2 linked regions of the Arabidopsis thaliana genome follow. The protein of the gene in region 1 binds, or shares a complex with, the protein of each later gene. Each region holds a gene or a part of one and is shown on either strand. Other genes may lie near its edges.

Evidence for each region.
Region 2: SERAT2;1 (region 1) and OASB share a complex: the UniProt entries of both Arabidopsis thaliana proteins name them as parts of the cysteine synthase complex.

Annotation. Positions count from the first base shown.
Region 1 is NC_003070.9:20,909,361-20,916,130, forward strand, and holds SERAT2;1 (serine acetyltransferase 2;1), read left to right. Parts: upstream 1-2,755; 5' UTR 2,756-2,801; coding exon of another isoform or gene 2,802-2,810; 5' UTR 2,811-2,875; coding exon of another isoform or gene 2,876-2,917; 5' UTR 2,918-3,017; coding exon 3,018-3,962; 3' UTR 3,963-4,205; downstream 4,206-6,770. Other genes in the region: AT1G55915 (zinc ion binding protein), read left to right, coding at 1-69; AT1G55917 (uncharacterized protein), read right to left, coding at 1,765-1,789, 2,376-2,422, 2,480-2,506, 2,629-2,653, 2,688-2,698, 2,802-2,810, 2,876-2,917. UniProt on the Arabidopsis thaliana protein: Serine acetyltransferase which catalyzes the formation of O-acetyl-L-serine from acetyl-CoA and L-serine. Also displays O-acetylserine (thio1)-lyase activity in vitro. May be involved in detoxification process by mediating the production of glutathione.
Region 2 is NC_003071.7:18,126,960-18,135,703, reverse strand, and holds OASB (O-acetylserine (thiol) lyase B), read left to right. Parts: upstream 1-3,065; 5' UTR 3,066-3,381; coding exon 3,382-3,624; intron 3,625-3,810; coding exon 3,811-3,920; intron 3,921-4,007; coding exon 4,008-4,065; intron 4,066-4,168; coding exon 4,169-4,432; intron 4,433-4,702; coding exon 4,703-4,840; intron 4,841-4,972; coding exon 4,973-5,024; intron 5,025-5,109; coding exon 5,110-5,189; intron 5,190-5,296; coding exon 5,297-5,356; intron 5,357-5,484; coding exon 5,485-5,565; intron 5,566-5,862; exon of another isoform or gene 5,863-6,007; coding exon 6,008-6,100; 3' UTR 6,101-6,269; downstream 6,270-8,744. Other genes in the region: AT2G43770 (Transducin/WD40 repeat-like superfamily protein), read left to right, coding at 401-1,432; AT2G43760 (molybdopterin biosynthesis MoaE family protein), read right to left, coding at 1,832-2,428; AT2G43745 (jacalin lectin-like protein), read left to right, coding at 6,349-6,726, 6,813-6,845; AT2G43740 (Mannose-binding lectin superfamily protein), read left to right, coding at 7,820-8,074, 8,202-8,744. UniProt on the Arabidopsis thaliana protein: Acts as a major cysteine synthase.

The DNA.
Region 1 (6,770 bases):
GCTTGTGGTCAGTGGAGGTACTCGTATGGAGCACCATTGTCAACTGGTGCTCCTAATGTCGGCACTTGAGGGAGTTACCAGTCTTCCACAAGGACTAAATGTCAAACTCTTAGCCATTTTTGGTAGCCAACGGACATGATTCTCCAAGTTCTATAAACAGTGTCCAAACTTGGACTTGTGGCTACGTTGTGTTATGTAGAGTAGTAGGCTTTTTAACTTTATTAGGTGGAAATAGTATTTTCATTTTGCAAACACTCAAACAAAGTTAGATGAGTAAACTCAATGATGTGAAAAATTGGAAAAGGTTTTCTTTTTTCCTTTGAATAACGATTTTTGAGGAAGCTGAATGAAAATAAGATTCTTTGTTGGTATTCTGATGGTGGTTTTCTAATTTTGACGTCGTCGGCGTCTTGTTCTACACAGAGAGTCTCTTTGTTCTCGTTGCTTCCATCTTCTATCTATGGCTGTTTCAGCTTCTGGTCCTGTAAACACTCCCTTTCGTCTACCAAGTCTTGAAACCTTAGACCCATTGCCTGAAGTCAAATGAGAAACTCGTCTCTGAGGCTTCCGAGGTATGCTCTTCTTCTTAACCATTCTCAGAGCCTCTATTGTTTGATTTCTAGAATGCTATACTTTTTTCTAATCCTGCTTTGCAGAATCTTTAGCTAACCTGATAGAATTGTGCTTTTCTATCCTTGGTATTAGATCAAGCGGTCTAAACTTCCCAGTTAGACTTTGAGGTTTTTGTCTGCTCTTGTGAACAATCATTTACATACATTGTGTGTGTGTGTGTCTGCGCGTGTGAATTCAGGTACCTAGCTCTTTCTTAAATCAATTCAGACATGATTCGTGGCTGTTAAAACAAGCTACAATAACACAAATGAAGAATTGTTCAAATATCATGTGCGTTAATGTCCACGCTCCTGAAATAGATTACGTATGTTTCACTAGGACTTGTTAGAATTGTGAAACTTATAAAACTGTTCTTTTTGTTAGGCAATGGTGAGGCTATTTTACTTTCAGGTTTAAAAAACCTGTTGAAGCATTAGAGTGTTGATGAATATGAGTTTCCCTAAAGTAGATAGTATCTTCAGTCTGAAGTATATATGCATGTGTTGTTTCTGATCATAGTGTGCATCAAATGGGATGGTTCTGAAGATCTTTTGACAAACTCTTTGTCTATCAATTGATGTTTAAGGTTCAACAGCGATTCAGTTTCATAAAAGGTGATGTTTTTGCTTTTGCTTTTGTTAGCAGATGGTACCAAATCAAAAAGCTTAGGATCATATCGAGTGCCCCTTATCTGATAGAGGACTCAAGGAAGCAGATACTTAACCTCATTAAGCATCATGCTCAATCTTAGCTCCTTATTGTGCTACTAAAGTTCCAGTCTATTGGTATCCTCTTCCAATCTTATTATTTGTGTTGTTTTTTTGTGTGTCCTGACGTTTCACAGTGTCCATTCTTCATCATGTCATTCTCCATTCTTCAACACATCACAATTATATTTTAGCTAAATAGATAAAATTTATTCATATGATTTATTCTAAGAGATATTCGACATTTTTCAATATAAATTTTAGAAACCAAAAAATTGTGTAACTCGAAAGGGAAAGTTCATATATTCTTTGTGAACCAAATCGAATTCTCTAACTGAATAGTATTTTGTGTTTTCATGATTTTGAAGAGCCAAATCTACTTGACTACTGGTTGAAAATTGAAAGAAACCCTAATAAGGGACAATGATAACGAAAGATTGGGTCCTCAAACAATGGACACCACTATTCTACTGCCATTTAAAAAAAAAAGTTTAATATTTTTGAATTTTATTGTTGTTGTTTTCTCATTTCAAAACATCCAAAATTCCAACTAAGATAAGATAACTTATTTGCAGTAAGAAAAACGGATAATTTTATTTATTTGAATCCATCCATCAACATAAAGGTGTGCACAAAGGACAATATTAGGCAAATGACAATGTCACGTAATCTACGTTGCCCAATTGAATAATTTGATTATCATAAAAGTTACACAAGTTTCATTATTGAGTATTGAGTACTGAATAGAGATATCTTCAACCATAATGTAGCTTTCACAATTTCCATACGCGAAAAAAAGATATACACAAATGGAGTGTGTAGAGTAAACTAAACTCACTCTATTATGACTAACAGTCAATAACACGTACGTAGTTATCAAATTATTAATGAGTAAAAAAGTTCCAAGTTAAATTATGTATAAATTAATCATGTATTAGCATTAGATTATTAAAGTGTGAAAAAATGATTAGATTCAGACAACCTTGAAAATAAGGAGTTAAAGTCAAAGGGCGACTGCTTCACGTAACTTTAGACTTACGTCATTACTAACGTCACCTTTCTTTGAAAACCTCCTCCTTTTGAAAACCTCCTCCTTTTGGCAACTTTAATAATAGATCCAATTTTCTTGGTTTTTCCCCCCATTATTTGGAAATTATAACCATTTTACTACAAGTGCCTTCTAAATTCTACAACCCAACAAAAAAAAAAAAATTATATTACATATCATACAAAATAGCTAGATAATAAGTAGTTGATGTTATTGTTATGAAAAAGTTGGTGGCACTAAAAACATGTGATGGCTAATGACCCTTAGATATGTGTAGATAAGCAGACTAATCATGCAAAAATAAATACAAAATTGTAAACATCGTAATTGTCTGGACAATAAATCATAAAATTAAAAACATAAAACCATTTCCAAAATAAAATTGTGTATGGAAAAAAATATATATTAATCTCACTTACTATATAATTCATTACCTCCTTAATCTGCAGAAAAATGTGTATAATTAAAGAATAAAATATTTAGAGAGCGCTAATTAAACTGTAATTACTTTTTGAGATTTTTTTGGGTCAGAGTCAAAGGTCGCCGCCATCTCTCTCTGTGTATATAAGCTATGTTCATCTTCTTCACTCAACAACCATTCTCTCTTCTCTTCTTTATCTCAAACTCTTTCTTCTTCCAAATCATAAACCATGGCAACATGCATAGACACATGCCGAACCGGTAATACCCAAGACGATGATTCCCGGTTCTGTTGCATCAAGAATTTCTTTCGACCCGGTTTCTCTGTAAACCGGAAGATTCACCACACCCAAATCGAAGATGACGATGATGTCTGGATCAAGATGCTTGAAGAAGCCAAATCCGATGTTAAACAAGAACCCATTTTATCAAACTACTACTACGCTTCGATCACATCTCATCGATCTTTAGAGTCTGCTTTAGCTCACATCCTCTCCGTAAAGCTCAGCAATTTAAACCTACCAAGCAACACACTCTTCGAACTGTTCATAAGCGTTTTAGAAGAAAGCCCTGAGATCATCGAATCCACGAAGCAAGATCTTATAGCAGTCAAAGAAAGAGACCCAGCTTGTATAAGCTACGTTCATTGCTTCTTGGGCTTCAAAGGCTTCCTCGCTTGTCAAGCTCATCGAATAGCTCATACCCTCTGGAAACAGAACAGAAAAATCGTAGCTTTATTGATCCAAAACAGAGTATCAGAATCTTTCGCCGTCGATATTCATCCCGGAGCGAAGATCGGAAAAGGGATTCTTTTAGACCATGCGACGGGCGTGGTGATCGGAGAGACGGCGGTGGTTGGAGACAATGTTTCGATTCTACACGGAGTGACCTTGGGAGGAACAGGGAAACAGAGTGGTGATCGGCATCCGAAGATTGGTGATGGTGTGTTGATTGGAGCTGGGAGTTGTATATTGGGGAATATAACAATCGGTGAGGGAGCTAAGATTGGATCAGGGTCGGTGGTGGTTAAGGATGTGCCGGCGCGTACGACGGCGGTTGGAAATCCGGCGAGGTTGATTGGTGGGAAAGAGAATCCGAGAAAACATGATAAGATTCCTTGTCTGACTATGGACCAGACATCGTATTTAACCGAGTGGTCTGATTATGTGATTTAACACAAATGTGTATTTCTTTCTTTCTTGTAACTGATGATGATGAAACAAGTCTTGTCTATTTCTTAATATTTTACTATGTACTAATCAAACAAGTCTTGAAATCAAGCTCATCGATCTTTAAGAAGAAACTAGAGATTAGTTTATCTCGAGGCGAATCAAGAATGTGTACACTTTTATGGATTAATATATTTGTTAATAACATGGATTGTGAATTGGGCCTTAAAGTGGACTGTTAAATGGGCCATGTATAACCAACTCACGCCAACAATAGTTTTCTAATGGTTACTTTCGTCGCCGGAGTCGTGGAAGGTGGAGAAATGGGAAAATCTCACAGAAGAAGTAATTATGAGTCATCGTAAACTAGAAAGAAGACTAAAGGACGAGGCAGAACAAAGCATCATTACTATAGTATTGATGACGTTCTGGTTTCGTAATTAAAGTGTTTTCATTTCCCAATGCAAATGACTTTTGATATTTCTTCTCTAATAAAGAAAGTCGCTTATAAAACTCAAACATAGAGAGAAGTTTTCATTTGTTCTAAACTTATTCAAAACCCTAGTTTTTTCTTACAATCAACCATCGCTAAATCAGAAGAAACATTAGTTTCACAGGAAAAAAAAAAACTAAAAAAAAGAAACAGAGATTATAAAGAGTCCATTGGAATATAGAGAACCGAAAATCGACCGAGATCACAAAGCCAAGATATGGCAAAAAGATATGATTCTAGAAGAATTTGGAAGAATATTAATAAATGTTAATATTAGAGTTTAGGAAGTTTAATATTATCTCTAAAAATATTATTTACATATATGTTTATTTTAGTTTAGGAAACTTAGATCTCTTCCTTCTCTATATAAAGATCATCTCCAATGTATAGCTCTATATCCACCTCTAAAATAGAGTTACTCTATTTTTGAGGTGGGTTTCTCTCCAATGTATAGCTCTATTTTCTACTCTAAAAAAGAATATTCTTAAAAATATTCTATTTCTAATTTATATACTAATTCCTTTTAATTATATAATTTACAATTTGACCTCATATATTATAGATTTGCAAAAATTTCCAGAAAATATGACATTATTTAAATTAAACACTACTTATTTATTAAAAAACATTACATCATATAACAATAATAAAACATTACAAATTTTTATTTTGTGATTTGGATTCCTTTCAAAACTCACATGTTCGGGCATATTTTGAGAGTGAACAAGTACGGCTTTTACAAAAACGATGTGTCCAACGACAAGATCAAGAAACTCTTCCTCCATCTACTTCATTTGGATAATATTTCGACTATCTTGGCGGATCCACAAGCAATTTACCGGACTATTAAATCACTAGTTAATTTGATGTTTTAGTTTTTTTATGTTGTTTATTTTAAATTAGGTACTTGTTTCTTGTTAAGTTTATAAAATTATTTTAAATTTAATACTTAATTGTTTGTTAAGTTTATAAAATTATGTGTTGTAGTTGTTGTTTGTAAAATAATTATATGTATTAAATAAAAAGTTTAAATTTGAGGGACTAAAGTATAAATAAAAAAATTGAACTCAAAAATAGAGTAGAGAATAGAGTTGCTCTATATATAGAGTCAATCTGCATAAATCTCTATTTTTGAGTCAATTATAGAGTGGGGTTGGAGAAGGCTTTTGTATTTTTACTCTAAAATAGAGTAGGGTTGGAGATGCCCTAAGAGATTGTAACTTGTATCTTTATTCTCATGAGAGTCTAATATAATTCATCATCTAAACACTTTTGTGTTCTTTACTTTCATCAAATTTATCGAGAGTCACCTTTGAAAGTAGATACACTATCATCTTTGTCCATGAGAACGTCCGGATGAGTATGATAGTGTATCTATTTCAAAAGTGACTCTTTATAATCTCAGTTCTATATTTTTGAGTTTTTCATTTCTTTTCTAACAAAACCAATGTTTTTTTTGGTTGTTTATTTACAGCGAAAATTTGCAAAGAGTATGAATAGTGTTTCCCAAGTTTTCGAAACATCACTATCTCTGCTTTGAAGGTAACAATGTTTTCTTCATACACACCGACATTTTTTTTGTTTAAGAAACAACAACTCAAGGAAGATTTGTTTTTTGTTTTATAGGTTAACTGTGGTGGTCAATTTTTTTACTTAGTTGGTTCGCTGGCTTTGAACACGGCTTTCCGGAGCAACGAATCGTTTCTATTTGTGGATGTGCTGAGAGTTGAGGAGAATGGTAAGATGCTGACTGGAGAAACTGCTTTGTCAAATCCTAATTTACTTGAGAGACCAATGATCTGACTATTAAGAAAGCTCCGGTAACCCAAGCTGGTGATAATAAAACTAAAAAGTTCGGATAGTGCCAAAAGAAGTCGTAAGAAACGATCTCTTGGGGATCTTTCAAGTGGGAAAGGAGAGGTTGAACCTTTTGCAATGTCACCAACAGGAACAATAGGAAAAAGTAACCTCTATCTTTTTCTTTCTCTATTGTTGTCTATGGAGTATATAGTTGATGTTATTGGAGAGTATTAGTCAAGTTACATTCGATTGTATGATCTGATTTTATTAAGACATTAAAAGGGGTGATGTTATTCTTGAAGTAACGGTCGAAACTGAATTAGTTGTGAGGCGTGAGAGTGCCCTTAATCTGTATAATCTTTCTATGTTCCATAGATCTTGAAAAGGGAGAAAAAAGTGCTGCTACGACTGACCAAGAGAATGATCTTGCACTTGTGGATGATGAGAACGAGAGTCACAAAGATGATGTTCGTTTAGGAGCAATAGTACAAGGTAAACTTTTTTGTGTTTACTGATTTTCA
Region 2 (8,744 bases), on another chromosome or scaffold:
TGTTAGTGGTTGCTTTGCTTTATGTCAAAATTGAATCTGTGAGATCTCTGTAACCGGACTTGAAGTCCTTTTTTCGTCTCTGGTGCAAAACCACAACAAGTTTTAGAGAGATATCGATTTCTTAATGATCTGTGTTTATTTACTTGCGGCTTGAGAATAAACATTGCAACCTTTTGCTTTTGTAGGCTTTACTTAGAATGTGCAGGTTTCATGATACTTCTTGGTGTTTACTATCTGCTTTTCGGATGTTATATTGATTAATGGCTTGAAAATTTTGAAATTGAGATATCTATAAAAGCTACACAGCTGTGTGAATATTGTTATAATTCGCTCAATCTTCTGATTCGTTTTCTCATGGAATCCAGGTTCTAACTTGATTACCAGTGAGAAGTAGGCTAAGATGGAAATCATGTCAAGAGAGAATGAGACTGCTTTGTCAGGTCCTAGGCCGATGGAATGGTCTACCGTCCCACACAGTGCTTCTCAAGGACCTGGTCCCAATGGCAAGAACCGGACCTCGAGCTTGGAAGCACCTATCATGTTGCTAAGTGGACATCCGAGTGCTGTCTATACCATGAAGTTCAATCCTGCTGGAACTCTGATTGCATCTGGATCCCATGACAGAGAAATCTTCCTCTGGAGAGTTCACGGGGACTGCAAAAACTTCATGGTTTTGAAAGGTCACAAGAACGCCATCCTTGATCTTCATTGGACCAGTGATGGCTCCCAGATTGTATCAGCTAGTCCGGATAAAACTGTAAGGGCTTGGGATGTTGAGACTGGGAAACAAATCAAGAAGATGGCTGAACATTCATCGTTTGTGAATTCTTGCTGTCCTACACGTAGAGGGCCACCTCTTATCATCAGTGGATCTGATGATGGAACTGCCAAGCTTTGGGACATGCGTCAAAGAGGAGCCATACAAACATTTCCTGATAAATACCAAATCACTGCAGTCAGTTTCTCAGATGCAGCTGATAAGATTTTCACTGGTGGTGTAGACAATGATGTTAAGGTTTGGGACTTGAGAAAAGGTGAAGCCACCATGACACTTGAGGGCCATCAAGATACAATCACAGGTATGAGCTTAAGCCCAGACGGTTCCTACCTTCTCACTAATGGAATGGACAACAAGCTCTGTGTGTGGGACATGCGTCCTTATGCTCCACAAAACCGATGTGTAAAGATCTTTGAGGGGCATCAACACAACTTTGAGAAGAACCTGCTGAAATGTTCATGGTCACCTGATGGTACAAAAGTTACTGCCGGTAGCTCAGACCGTATGGTTCATATCTGGGACACAACCAGTCGGCGCACTATATATAAGCTCCCAGGCCATACCGGTTCTGTCAATGAGTGTGTTTTCCACCCAACCGAGCCTATCATTGGATCTTGCAGTAGTGATAAAAATATCTACTTGGGAGAGATCTGAATTTCAAAGCTGTGAAACCTTTGCAACTCTAAGTGGAATTGAAGTCTTTAGAATCGACGATGTGCTTTGAGACATTTTGTTTATTGAAAGAAAAAACGAAACATTGCTCTTTGGTACAAGTAATCAAGATTTGTTATCTCCTGTAATATCTTCATTACGCTCTTTATCTTCTTCTACTTTAACAGATGAGGTCATCATTTTAGTTCTCCTTAAAATTGTTATCTTTGGTATTACAATCTTGCAGTATCTTCGATTAGATTCTTACAGATTCAAGCAGTAGCAAGTATAAGCCCAGTCCAGTAACCAACTAACGCATATAAGTCTTTAGATTCAACAATGTGCTTAAGAAAGTTTGTCTATTGAAAGTAAAAAGCGAAACAGTGTTACTGCTACAAGTGATCAAGAAGAAGATTTGTTATCTCCTGTAATATCTTTATGCTCTTCATCTTCTTCTACTCTAACTTTGCTTCCACAGCAACCTCTTCTTCTATGTTCTTCAACCACAGTTTTTTTTACAATGCTGTCTCTTTTCTCTGCAAGCTCCAATCTTTTCTCCATAAACTCAGAATTCTCCTTCCAAATCTCTCCATTAGTGTAAACCTCTTTCTTCCATATCGGAACCGATGCCTTCAACTCGTCGATCAAGAACTTGCAAGCATCTAAACCATCTGCACGGTGAACAGATGAGACCGCAATGAGCACGCTAGTTTCTCCAACAGGAACTGGTCCAAGACGGTGAGCAACAGCAATCTTGTGGATATCCCAAGTTGATCTAGCAGTTGTACAGATCGAGCTGAGGCATCGTGTGGCCATTGGCACATATGCTTCATACCTTAACTCCAACACTGTCTTGCCCTCGAACATGTCTCTTGTAGTGCCTGAGAATGTCGCAATAGCACCAGCTTGAGGGGCACTGACATAATCAATGTACTTAACAACATCGACTTTGTGACCTTCCTCCAAGATCTCTATAAGGTTCTTCTCCTCTGCAGACATCTTTGATCCAATAGTAAACCTCGATACAATCGATGTTCTAGGAAGAGTAAACCAAGCTTAGCAGATGATCCGATAGCAAATTCTAACCTGCAATTGGAGGAAATAAACAACCATGACTATCTCATCACCTATCATCCAAAACTAATCAAACAGACAATTTGTTTAGTCAAAGGCAAACAGAGCAAATGAGGAACCTTTCTTGCGCAATCTAATGGCAATCACATCTTACTAATCCAGAAATGGAAGAGTCAAATCAACAAAGTAGGAGAATAGTGGACCAATGAACAAACTCAAAAAACGATGTCTCAAATCGGATTAAGAATTTGCCAAATCGGTCAATTTTTATTGAATCAGACAAAAACAGCAAAGGCACAAAACTCGTCTACAAAACTGACCAAAGTTCGAGTTTTTGTAAGATTGAGGATCGAATGGATAGAATCATAGAAAGACAGAGATAACGACAAAGAAGAATCGTCTCTTTCAGTACCTTACTACACTAAAAGTTTGTAATAACTTTAACAGCTACCCAGAAATTAAAAGAAGGCAAAGAACAAAAAGAGATCCAGAAAGATTTTATCTGACCTTTGAGAGTTTGGTAGGGCTGCATGATGAAGAAGAACATGTGCTCTATATTCACCTTCTTGTTGGATCAGACTAGTAGGTTGGTGAGATTGTAAAAAACAAAACTTTACTAATTCAATTTCAAAGTCTCTTCTTTTCTCCAGATACTCTGTTTTACCATTCAAGGAAAAAGGATAAATCTTGTAGAAAGAAGATGCCAAAATGATTTTTTTATTTAGAAATTAAACAGCGACGTCGTTTTGCAGCTACAGTGCGATCATCTAATCAGTCAGTGTCTTCAAGTTTAAACCGCATCTCTAGTCTCTCTCTACTTCTCTCTGTGTACAATATTCGGAAAGTGAGGAAGATACACTGAAGCAAAAGAGCAAGTCATGGCGGCGACATCTTCCTCTGCTTTTCTCCTTAATCCGTTGACTTCTCGCCACCGTCCTTTCAAATACTCGCCAGAGCTCTCTTCTCTCTCCTTATCCTCTCGAAAGGCTGCTGCTTTCGATGTTTCCTCAGCTGCTTTCACGCTCAAGAGACAGAGCCGGAGTGATGTTGTGTGCAAGGCTGTATCTATCAAGCCAGAAGCTGGTGTTGAAGGGCTCAATATCGCCGATAACGCCGCTCAGGTTAGATTGTGTTTCGTTTGCATTTGGATAGAGACAGAGGAAATCTAAATTGGTGATCAATTTTGTCAATTTAGGGGAAGATATAAACTAACTGAGTATTATTAGTCTTGTAAATTTGACTTCTTTGAATTTTGATTTCGTTTCTAATTTTTTTATATTCTTTCTGAATGTTATGAATTGATTCAGCTTATTGGGAAAACTCCGATGGTGTACTTGAACAATGTAGTCAAGGGCTGTGTTGCAAGTGTTGCTGCTAAGCTTGAGATCATGGAACCATGTTGCAGTGTCAAGGATAGGTTTGTGTATCCAAATATAATTTGATTTTGGTTTTGCTATCTTTCACATTTATACATTCTGAGCTTGTGTTGTTGTGGTGATTTCAGGATTGGGTACAGTATGATTACTGATGCTGAAGAGAAAGGACTTATAACACCTGGAAAGGTATTTGATTATGGATTTGACCTTTTATTGTTGTTGAATGATTCTGTATTGAGTGTCAACTGTCAAGCCCTCTGATTTTGTTTTCTTGCTGCAAATGTTTTAGAGTGTTCTTGTGGAATCTACGAGTGGGAACACAGGGATTGGCCTTGCATTCATTGCTGCTTCAAAAGGCTATAAACTTATCTTGACGATGCCTGCGTCCATGAGTTTGGAAAGGCGGGTTCTTTTGAGGGCATTTGGAGCTGAGCTTGTGTTAACTGAACCTGCAAAAGGTATGACTGGAGCAATTCAGAAGGCTGAAGAAATCTTGAAAAAAACTCCCAATTCCTACATGCTCCAACAGTTTGACAACCCTGCCAATCCCAAGGTCTGTAATTACTTCTTGTTTCATCATACTCTCTAACTGTGACATGAATTATGAGCTACGATTACTTCTGGCCTTGTACAGTAGTAAGAGGTGGTGTGTGAAAGGGTTCATTAGAGATGATAGTGAAATTCTTCCGCACTTCCTTTTGGATTGTTGTAGAGTTTCTATGGTATACAGTTTTGAATCATCACGATTATATCTGGGATTCACTGGTTCCATTGGTAAAAGCTGCAAGTATTTGTTAGTGTTTTGATATAAGATTAAATGCAGATTCATTATGAGACGACTGGTCCTGAGATTTGGGAAGATACAAGAGGCAAAATCGATATATTGGTTGCGGGGATTGGAACTGGTGGAACTATCACTGGTGTTGGTCGATTCATTAAAGAAAGAAAACCTGAATTGAAGGTACATAGCAAGAGGGCTTGTAGCATATCAGCTGGAATCAACTGTAGATGTTATAACCTCCGTAATTAGATTTAGTTGATGTTTACTTGTACTTGTAGTTATATTTAATTAGTTGATGTTTACTTGTACCAGGTTATTGGTGTCGAACCCACGGAAAGTGCTATACTTTCTGGTGGAAAACCCGGTAAGGCAGTGATTTTGTTTTTCTTGTTTCTCTGGCACGTTATTCTTTTTATCTTGCGTTTATTTGACATGTATTTGAAATGCAGGACCTCACAAGATTCAAGGAATTGGAGCTGGATTTGTACCCAAGAATTTGGATCTGGCTATTGTAGATGAATACATAGCGGTATGATCTGTTGGTTTGGTTCTCTATAACTATACATTCATCTTTTTCACTTTCAGCAAGCAACAATTTTCCTTTTTAACTTCACCTGTTTTGTTGCTTCTTATCAGATTTCCAGTGAGGAAGCTATTGAAACCTCGAAGCAACTAGCTCTCCAGGAAGGCTTGTTGGTTAGTCTATATTTGTTATTCTGTTTGACTTATTTGTTAGTGGGAACACTCTTTATAAAAGATAGAAAACGAATGTAAATGCATATGAGAAATCTATGACGATTAGTAAACGACTATAACCTTTTCAGGTTGGTATATCTTCTGGAGCTGCTGCTGCTGCTGCAATCCAGGTTGCAAAGAGACCTGAAAATGCCGGGAAACTCATAGCCGTAAGTCCTCAATGTTCTTCATCATAATTTCTTTATGGACCAAAACCTAGTCTTGTATCTGTGACCAACCACTGAATGATATAGAAAAAGAGTTCTTAAGTTATCTAATCATGAACCTTGGTCCTTTTAGAGTCTTACTACTTATTTTAACATTTGTATTTGAGTAGTTGGTTTGGTTTATACGTCTAATGAACGTTTACGTTGCCTTAATCTCTCTGCCACACCAAACCCTAGTCATTGCAAAGAACAAGAGAGGAGCTTAATCTCTCTGCCACACCAAACCCTAGTCATTGCAAAGAACAAGAGAGGAGCTTATTATTCAATTACTATAGCCCAACGTAGGGAATCAGTGAAAGGATTTTAGCTTAGTATGGAGTAAAAAATATAACAGATTCATCATATGTATAGTTTGATATGTGAGTTGCTGAATCTTGGTTTTCAGGTTGTGTTCCCGAGCTTCGGGGAACGTTACCTCTCGACCCAGCTTTTCCAGTCGATTCGAGAAGAGTGCGAGCAAATGCAGCCCGAGCTTTGATTTTCTTCTGTAATTTCGTGACCAACAAGGAACCTCTTCTTTGATTTATTGCTGATTGTTTTTCTTCTAATAGACGTTTCTGCAGAAATCTCTACGTCTACTGTGTATATTTACAATTCGCAACGCAATTTGGTGTTTGTTATTAATAAAGGCATAAGAGGTTTTGGTCAAACGAAGAGTCTTCTTCTTGAGCACAATTTTCGAGCGTTTTGTTTAATGTACCTGGAAACTTGTTTAGCTTTCTCCCAATGGAATCCATAAATGAAAGTTATGACGACTCTTCGAGTTTTGGACAAGACAGTCTCCTATATAATCGTCCTTTCGCCTATCTATATCTCTCCTTCCACTTAAAACTATTGTACTCTGTGCCTGCTTCTTATATAGCGATGATAAGAGCAGGATCAGTGGGAAAAAAATCGACATGTGAGTATACTTATTGGGACGACGGTGTTGGAGAAGAGGTGATGGGTGACGATAGTTGGGATTACGAGGGACGCAAGATCTCTCACATATATGTTGCTTTCGACGAAGTCATAATGTCTATTCAGTTTGGTTTTTTGGAGAATGGAGCTCTAGTCCTGTCTAAACAGCATGGTGGCATTGAGGAGGGCTCCAACTTTCGTGTTGTAAGTTTTGTGTCAATAACAATTATTTATTTTTGCGTTTGCGTAAGATCCGGTCAAGTTTTGTTTTTGATGAAGTTTAAACGCAGTTGAGACTGAATCAAGACGAATATGTAACTTGATTAAGTGGAGTACTAAGAAAGCATGGTGGAGGGATCAGAAATTTGACATTTCGCACTAACGTCGGGGAGTATATGATTGGACGTTCAAGCGACAATTATCCAAATCATTGGAAGATAGATATTGATCCGGCAATATGTGATGAACGTGAGTTTGGTGGTTTCTTTGGGTCTAACAATTTATACCATCTGACATCGATTGGTATGTATTTGAGACCCATTACAAGTCTCGACATGGTTGTTAAACGCGAAAACAGTTGACCAAGAAAGCCTTGTAGCCTAGTTCAAGTTGCCTGTTGAGTTTTATCTTAAATAAAGTAGCATTTTTGGATCAATCATCTTTCTATTTCTCAACTCTCAAGTAATAATAAAAAATGGTCCCATTTCTTCCTTTATTATTTGTTTTTGTAAATTTGTGCTCCATTTTCTTGTGATGAAAAACGAAATGTTTAAATGACAAAATTCGAAGTCACGAATCATTTCATGTATAGTATACCCAAAGATGATGCATCATTTGTTACTAATAACGTATTATGACTTTTTGGCTCACGAATTCTATAGACGGAAGGAACCAGCATCTTAATTAAATATTTGGAAAAATCTTTAGACGCATCTAATGTTCTTAAATCTATGGAAAATCGGCATCTTAACTGTTAGCAAAGAAAAAAAAAGGCTTTAACTATTACTAGTATCCTTAGATGAATATAGCTTTAAATAGGTAAACTATAGCTATAAAGTAAATAACAAATAAGCAAGGAGATTAAATATTTATAGTTACTTTTTTGTTCTTCGAATTTAGTAAATTTACTGTTTTCAAGTTGCTTTACATTTTGATTAAGGAAGTTTTCTTAGAGAGATTAGGTATGTAAAGCTTTTCTTCGTCTATATATAAGTATAGATCGTCCTCAGAAGAACAAATTGTTTTATTAAGAAAATATTTTAATCCGAGCTTAATTCTTTCGTCTGCTATATTCTAAATGAAATCCCGTGGTAGGGAGATGTTCAAAGTCGGACCAATTGGGTCACAACGTGCTTATCTTAAGAATTTGGAATGGGAAGAGAAGGGACGCAACATGATCTCTAGTATATATGTCGCTTTCGACAAAGATACCATAAATTCTATTCAGTTTAGCTATTGTCAGAACGGAGGTCATGTCGTGTCTAAAAAGTATGGTATGTCTGATGCCCAAAAACAAAAGTATGGTTCGTACAACGGTCGATTCCACGTAATGGTAAGTTTTGTTATAATACATCTTCATGTTTTTTCTTCCTTCTGATAGTTATAATATCTGGTAATTTTTCTTAGTGGAATCTTTACATTTTGTTTATGTAATTAACATTGTTGTTCATCATGTATAGTTTGTTTTTGCTCTTGTTACTGATGACCACGTTAAAACAAATTTATGCAATATACAGGTGAGACTAAATGACGATGAGTTTGTGACCGGGTTGAGTGCAATATATCTTTGTAAAGGGATCACGAATTTGAATATTCACACTAATCAGGGGAAACACGGCCCGATTTGTGATAGATATTCATCATCAAAGAATATTATGGATAACTATAAGGTGGAAATTGATGTGAAGATACGTGATCGTCGTGAGTTTGGTGGTTTCTTTGGGTCTTTTGATAACTATGGCACTCTGACTTCCATTGGCATTTATGTGTGTCCCATTACAAGGATCAATGACGTAGCCCTCAGAACCAACTACAAAGTCACCGATGACTACGACGACCAAAGCACTTTCTATCAATCATCTGGTCCTTTAACCACAATCAACCATAATCGGAAGCTTGAATATCAAATGCCTCATGAGGTCTCCGATGTCAAGCCCATTGTTCATAACCCCAATTTCGAAGACAAGATCAGTCTCTACCAATCATCGGATCGTCTAGCCAGA